2 linked regions of the Macaca mulatta genome follow. The protein of the gene in region 1 interacts with the protein of each later gene in a pairwise test. Links are inferred from orthologs where the notes say so. Each region holds a gene or a part of one and is shown on either strand. Other genes may lie near its edges. The genes, in order: UTP14A and SMYD1.

What was found.
Region 2: the proteins of UTP14A (region 1) and SMYD1 interact in binary tests that used the Homo sapiens proteins (3 or more experiments, as listed by UniProt). The link is inferred for Macaca mulatta from reciprocal best matches to the Homo sapiens genes UTP14A and SMYD1.

What each region holds. Positions count from the first base shown.
Region 1 is NC_133426.1:136,374,592-136,378,408, forward strand, and holds part of UTP14A (U3 small nucleolar RNA-associated protein 14 homolog A), read left to right. Parts: intron 1-68; coding exon 69-188; intron 189-285; coding exon 286-380; intron 381-1,363; coding exon 1,364-1,487; intron 1,488-1,581; coding exon 1,582-1,659; intron 1,660-2,097; coding exon 2,098-2,494; intron 2,495-3,817. UniProt on the Homo sapiens protein: May be required for ribosome biogenesis.
Region 2 is NC_133418.1:26,063,181-26,066,997, reverse strand, and holds part of SMYD1 (histone-lysine N-methyltransferase SMYD1), read left to right. Parts: intron 1-1,485; coding exon 1,486-1,675; intron 1,676-3,817. UniProt on the Homo sapiens protein: Methylates histone H3 at 'Lys-4' (H3K4me), seems able to perform both mono-, di-, and trimethylation. Acts as a transcriptional repressor. Essential for cardiomyocyte differentiation and cardiac morphogenesis.

The sequences.
Region 1 (3,817 bases):
ATCATAGTAAAGAGAGAAAGCTGTAAGAGCATGGCTTAAGACTCAGAATGTTTTGTTGCTTCTTTAAGGCAAGAACTCCCCTGGAGCAGGAAATTTTCAACCTCCTCCATAAGAACAAGCAGCCAGTGGCAGACCCTTTACTGACCCCCGTGGAAAAGGCCTCTCTCCAAGCTATGAGCCTGGAAGAGGTAAGTGTGTCATAGGCCCTTCACACCCAGGCATGCCACGCTTCTCCTAGCATTTGTCTTCTGGCCCAGATGTCACTGTAAATATCATTTGTTGTAGGCAAAGATGCGCCGAGCAGAGCTTCAGAGGGCTCGGGCTCTGCAGTCCTACTATGAGGCCAAGGCTCGAAGAGAGAAGAAAATCAAAAGTAAAAAGTAAGGAGGCCCCTGTGAACTGGCCTTTGGTTCCACAGAAGAAAGTCATGTGGCTCATCATAAATTCTTTGGAGAGAACCTTTGATGCGGCAACTGGAGTCATGTAGATGAGGTCCCAAACAGGCGTGACTAGCCTTTTGTTCCCCACAAACCAACCTCATACAGTTTTGCCAAAAAGAGGACTATTCAGTTACTTTCTCTACCTTCCAAGGCATCACAGAGTGGTTCTGCAGAATGAGCTCTGAATTCCAGAGCTGTTAAGGCCAATAGGGCTTCCTTCCTGCCTTTTTGCCTGTTTGAAACTTGTTGGCCACATGTGGTGGCTCATGCTTGTAATCCAAGCACTTTGGGAGGCCAAGATGGATGGATCACTTGAGCTCAGGAGTTCAAGACCAACCTGGGCAACTGGTAAAACTGGCTGGGCACGGTGGCTTATGCCTGTAATCCCAGCACTTTGGGAGGCTGAGGTGGGTGGATCACTTGAGGTAAGGAATTCAAGACCAGCCTGGCCAACATGGCAAAACCCCATCTCTACTAAAAATACAAAAATTAGCCAGGCATGGTAATGTGCACCTATAGTCCCAGCTACTTGGGAGGCTGAGGCGGGAGGATCGCTTGAACCCAGGAGGTGGAGGTTGCAGTGAGCCAAGATCACATCACTGCACTCCAGCCTGGGTGACAGAGTGAGACACTGTCTTAAAAAAAAAAAAAAAAAAAAGAAACTTATTCTACTCCTCCCTTGAGTTATAGAGGCAAAGGAGACTCTTTGAGCCACAGAGGTCTACCCTGAGGACTGTGGGTACCAAGAATCCTGCCAGTCCTCTCAGGTCCCAAACTGACTCCCTATAGCCAACTAGCTCTATGATGCCCGTTCCAGCCCCCTGCCTAGGGAACCCATTGGGTAGTATGGGCACTTGTGCCTATGACATCCATGCTTCAGCTAAATTGCTGAACTCTTCCCTCCTACCCCTCTTACCCTACAGGTATCACAAAGTTGTGAAGAAAGGGAAGGCCAAGAAAGCCCTAAAAGAGTTTGAACAGCTGCGGAAGGTTAACCCAGCTGCGGCACTAGAAGAACTGGAAAAAATTGAAAAGGCCAGAATGATGGTGAGACTACCTCTTGCCCCACCCCCACCCCTTTGAACCAGCTTTCCTTGGAAGCCACTAAAGGTCTAAATCTCACTCTGTTCTTTCTTTCTAGGAAAGAATGAGCCTTAAGCACCAAAACAGTGGGAAATGGGCCAAGTCAAAGGCAATTATGGCCAAATATGACCTGGAGGTAAGAGACCTTTGGGGTGAGAGAAGATCTGGAATTGGAGGATGCTAGCAGAAGCAGAGTTGGGGAAGAGCCATGAGGATGGATGGAAAACCAGGAATCTAAAAAGGCATCAGAAAAATCTCTAAGGCAGAAAGGAAAATGACCAGAAACAAGGTGGAAAAGGAGAGATGAAAGGGAAACAGCATTGAAGGCAAGTCCAAAGCGGGAGAGGAGCTTTTTAAAATCTTATTTCACCTGTTGATTCCTTGAAGACAAAGAATTTGTCTTCCATTTTATACCACAGCTATTAACCCAGCATTGTATATGCAGTTTAAACAGTAGGTACCAGTAAGAAATACCAAGTCAAATCGAGAGGAGGCAGCTTTATGAAATGGACCAGGAAAGGTATTATTGCAATCACTAATGACAGGGCTCTCATGCTGTGACTCTTTCCTCCAGGCTCGCCAAGCTATGCAGGAACAGTTGGCCAAGAACAAAGAACTAACACAGAAACTCCAGGTAGCCTCTGAGAGTGAGGAAGAGGAGGGAGGCACAGAAGAAAAAGTGGAAGAACTCCTTGTCCCTGATGTAGTGAATGAAGTGCAGATGAATGCAGACGGGCCGAATCCCTGGATGCTCAGGAGCTGTACCAGTGACACCAAAGAGGCTGCAACCCAGGAGGACCCTGAGCAACTGCCAGAGCCTGAGGCCCACGAAGTTTCTGAAAGTGAGGGAGAAGACAGACCAGTGGCAGAAGAAGAAATTTTGTTGAGAGAATTTGAGGAAAGGCGATCCCTTAGAAAAAGGTCTGAGCTCAGCCAGGATGCTGAGCCAGCAGGCAGTCAAGAAACAAAAGGTGAGCTGTGATCAAATGGAAGGGAGAAATTCCTAGTGCTGTGGACAGACTATGGGAGAAAAAAAAAATGTGTCCACCCACACACACAACTGCATAGTGATTAGGCTCTAGGGACTTGCAAGAGTGCATGCACTGGATCCCTGTAGAGAAATTACATTCATAACTACTCTTCTTTGAAGGCATTTAATAAGCACTCATCTGCATGGCCATGCAACGTGGTTCAGGCACATTTTCTGTTTTGGGGGGCTTACAGCCTTCGGAAAGCCATAATAACTAAACCATCCTTGAAGTTAGGGTGTGAGTTAGTGTTCCTGGTACCTACACACCAGGGAGAAGTACATATGGTAGAATGGCAAATCTGAAAGTCCATTCACACCTATAGGCACAGATAGGTCAATTTTGAGACATTAGGAAACATCTTCTAATTGCCGGATTTTTTTGTTTTGTTGGTTAAGTAGGAGTGGCATTTTTAGCATTTCTTAATTCTAGTTTATGTGTGTCTACATGGGGTGAGACTTTATGGAATGAATGACTCCACGGGGCTACATGGCAAATTAGAATTGTGACTCCATGCTCAGGCTCTATTTGTACTTTATATTTTCTACCTGTTATCTTGAAGAGATCTTATTAACAGTGTTAGCACCTGTGAGATTGGTCAGAGTTCCCATTTCTGGCAATAAACCAGGACACTAAAAAGCCTGCCTAGGAAAACTACCTACATTGAGAAATCACTTGGCTATCTGGACAAATTACCAGGTCTGGTTTGGTTCCACATAGGAATGCATTTAGATGACGGCAAAAATCTGGTTTTACATGGCAAAAAAAAAATTATTTTTTTTCTACTTTTTTTTGTTTAAGAGACAGGGTTTTGCTCTGTCATCCAGGCTGGAGTACAGTAGTACAATCATACCTTACTGCAGCCTAAGACCTCCCAGGCTCAAGCGATCCTCTTGGCTCAGCCTCCCAACTAGCTGGGACTACATGTATGTGCCACCATGCTGAGCTACGTTTTTGTAGAGACTGAGGTCTTGCTCTGTTGCCCAGGCTGGTCTTGAATTCCTGGCCTCAAGCTATCCTCTCACCTCAGCCTCCCAAAGTGTTAGGATTACAAGTGTGAGCCACCGCACCCAGACTCCTTTTTTTTTTTTCCTTTGTTTTTTTCAGGTTTCCACATACAAAAGTTTATTTTAAAAGAGCTATAATTTAGAATGTATTGTGGTGACCTTTACTTAATAGTTTTGGCTGGATATTTCTGGGATTAATAATTGCAAGCAGTCACTTCTGAGAGAATTTTGGAAAGCAGCACAGTGGGCTGAGATTGTT
Region 2 (3,817 bases), on another chromosome or scaffold:
TTGTGTCACTATCCTCATTTGTGAAATGAGCATCCCTGCAGCTCAGACAAACTAGGATTCTAAGCAGAACTGTGAGCAGAATCACCCGGCCTTCCTCTCCTACTGGCCTTTCATCACTACAGTAACCGCTGCTGCCGAAAATTGGGGTAAGGAACAAAGGAAAGGAGTGACAAATGGTGAGCAGGCACTTCAGTTTTGCAGACTCCACAGGAGTTGTTTTTATACACATTAACACATTAATAGGTGTGTCAGTGTATCTCACTTTGGGAGAAGGATTTGTATCCATCAGTGGTCACCTCAGACGCCTGGACATGAACGTCACTACCATTCAGCAGTTGCTTCCTTGATTGTCATCTCAGAGCACAGGGAAGGGGCTGCCTTTGACTGGGACTCTTCTTGGGTGCTGGAGTCTTGCCCTTGCTTTTGCGTGGTGTCTAACTGAGCCTTTCTGGGAGGTAAAAGAAATGACCATGGATCTCTGTGCAGGCACTCTCCCCAGCCCTCTGCATCCTGCCACTTGCTCTCTGGATGATGGCTTCCCACTAGGCAGGGAGGCCCCAGGATTCTGGGGAGGTACAGGAGCACGGTTTAGGACCCAGCTTGCAGGGCCCACCACTTGTTTTCTGTAGCTGTCTGGCCTTGTGGTGGAGGATGCATGGCTGAGAGATCCACAGGCTGACCTCTACCTGTTTGGCTCAGCTGGATGTCAGTTCTGCAGCAGGTTTTTACCTTCAACATCTTCAGTACCTATCTCATTAAGTAAGGTGGGTTGTGCTATAGGTAATTGAGGGTCAGGTCTAGGCTGGAAGGGAACTGAAATGCCATCTGCCCTTGCTAACGACCTTCAACCAACAAGCCACATCCCCCAATAAACACAAAAGTGAACAATGCAGTGAGCTAACAGAGCCAGCCTTTGTTTATTTGCCTTCAATGATCTCCAGTGGGCTAAGTCTCGTTAGGTAATTTGGCCTGAACCATTGGACTGAAGGTCAAGAGGTGACTTCGAGTTAGACACCGAATGAGCCAAGGTTGTGGGTAACTGAATTTTTATGTTTCTGAGAGAGTAGTCCCCAAACTAACCAGAAAAGATTTTCAAGTTTTTTCTTGTTTGGAGTTTCTGCCTTATTATTTCTCCTTCTTTTATTACAGACAATCAGTAGCTAAAAGTAAAGGGAGACTTATGGGCATGGACATTCTGTCTGGTTTTATGACCAAGCCCAGCTCTCTACTAGGAGTCTATTTGAGCTGATTCCAGAGCAGTTAACTGAATGGAGTGGATCGGACTGTTCTAAGGAGTAGAGTAGAACTATCCACAAAATCATCCTTTAGGTCACATTTCTCCTTTTGTGGAGTCAATGGGGGTTTCTGACTGCCAGTGAAAGTCATTGTCTTTGAGACCCAACTCCACAAAGCCTTGGAGGAGAGCATGGATCCCATTCCAGTAGGCCTGGATTCGAGCCACCTTTTCCTTTCGCCCTGCTCCAGAATTGAGCTCCGGGCCCTGGGCAAGATCTCAGAAGGAGAGGAGCTGACTGTGTCCTACATCGACTTCCTCAACGTCAGTGAAGAACGCAAGAGGCAGTTGAAGAAGCAGTACTACTTTGACTGCACATGTGAACACTGCCAGAAAAAACTGAAGGACGACCTCTTCCTGGGGGTGAAAGACAATCCCAAGGTACATGCAACCCTGCTGCTGAGGTATTTGTGTCCATATTCTCCAGGAGCCAGTCACAGGTGGTTTCACAGCTAATCAGTGTGCCTTGCCCATGAGCTTCCTAGGGAGCAGCTGTGACCCTGGGGAGGAGGCAGGGTATGAGAGCAGAGCACCGTGGGTAGGTCCCAGCTAAGTCCTGGCACTGCCACTTGCCAGGTGTTTGAGTTTGGGGAAGTCACCCAGTTTTCTCAACTGTAAAATAGGAATGATGGTCCCATTGCAAGAGGTTGTTATAAAGATTAAAGAAGATGATGTGTATAAAAGGAGTGGCATACAGAGCAGACACTGGAAATTTTGGTTCCTCCTGTTGCTCCTTTATGAGTTGAGGGATGTTGAGAATTTAAGGTGCTGAGATCAGATGGGCAAAGATATTTGTCATCTGGTTATGAAAAAGATATTCCTAGTCCCATGGGGATGGGCAGTGTGGAGACAGGGCTATGTTTAGATTGGTCAACATCCTGAACTCCTGGGTAACTGTTGCTAGTTGATGGTCAGTCTGTTGAGCAGCAGAAGAAGGCTTGCTGACGGGAGGTCAAGAGCCCAGCTGAGCTGGGAGAGAGCGCTGAGGCGCCAGGTGTCAGAGTAGCCAGTTAAAGCAACAGAGCAGAAGTGAGTGTGAAGTATTTAATCACTTACTGCAATAGTGTTAAGTGAGAAGCCAAAACCGAAGAAAGCACTGACTCTTCTTGTCCATTTCCTCCAGGGAAGCTGTGCTCAGGGGGAGGATGAGGGGGATCAGCACAGTCATGGAGGCATCTCACATGGCATTCTCTTTTATAAGGACACCAGTTATATGGGGTTGGGAGCCCACTCTATTCCAGTATGATCTCACCTTAACTAATTACATCTGCAATGACCCTATTGCCAAGTAAGATCTCATTCTAAGGTAGCTTCTGGGGCTAGACTTCAACATATGAATTTTGGGAGGATACAATTTTACCCCTAACACTGTGTATGCTACCATTTATGAACATTAAAAGGCACACACACACATGCACACCCATGCCCATGCAAGCATACTCGGTCTCCATACAGAAGTAGGAGGACCAGTGATGCCTGGGGTGAAGATATTGAGAGTCACCCTTCGCAGGAAGAGACAAAGCAGTTGGGGCCCAAGGATTAATGTTTTCTATAGGAACAACCTCTTTTCAGAGAAGCAAAGGTCTGTATTCTAGGAGATTTATATTGGATGTATGTGAGAGGCACTGAGCACTACATCATGGGCGCTACAGAGAAGAATTTGTTATTGCACCCACCCTCACCCCGACCTTTCAGAACCTGCAGAAAGCATGTCTTATCTGTGAGCCAGCCAGCCTTCCTTCCTGGAGACAGGCACTGAGTATTTGTTTCATATCTTGCTTCCACACTATGTAATTATTATTATTATTATTATTATTATTATGAGGCCAGACCCTCTTTTCTCTGTTCTAAAATAAAACAACCATGTGGTCATTTCTTTAGACTTTTTGATGTTTACCTGGCAGTTTCAATCGTTCAGAAGGCTATGTGTGACCTTTAGTTCCCATCCCCTCACTTTAGATATGCTGTTACCAGCTGGTGACAATACACACACGTCTTCAGTATGAATTGCAGAGTTGGCATTTCTCTTGATATAAAAGATTGATGATTTCAGCTTGAACCTACCTGAATTCAAGGCAAAAACTTTCTATTGTATTTTATATCAAATTGAGTTTCTCTATTAAAACAACTCAAAATAAAAATACCTATACTAACTGAGCAGGAAAAAATTGAGTATATCTTTTTAAAAGCAAATGCTTCCTCAGGCATTAAAAAAAGTCCATAATAATGTAGTAGGAAGAATACTGGAAGAAGAATTATGAGGCCTGTGTACTAGTACTGGCTATGACTCTAAACACCTGGGCTTGGCCAAGTCTCTTCCTTCTGGGCCTCAGTTTCCTCATCTGTAAAATGGGGAGTTGGACTAACTTATTAACCATTTCCTCAAGCTGGACTGTCTATGATGTCATCACAGTCATTTCCTTTCTTTTCTCTATAACGCTGTATCCCAGACTGATAAGCCTCCATCAGTACACCATCCTCAAACCTTCAAATGCCATCAAAATCTTTCCTAGCTCCTCAATA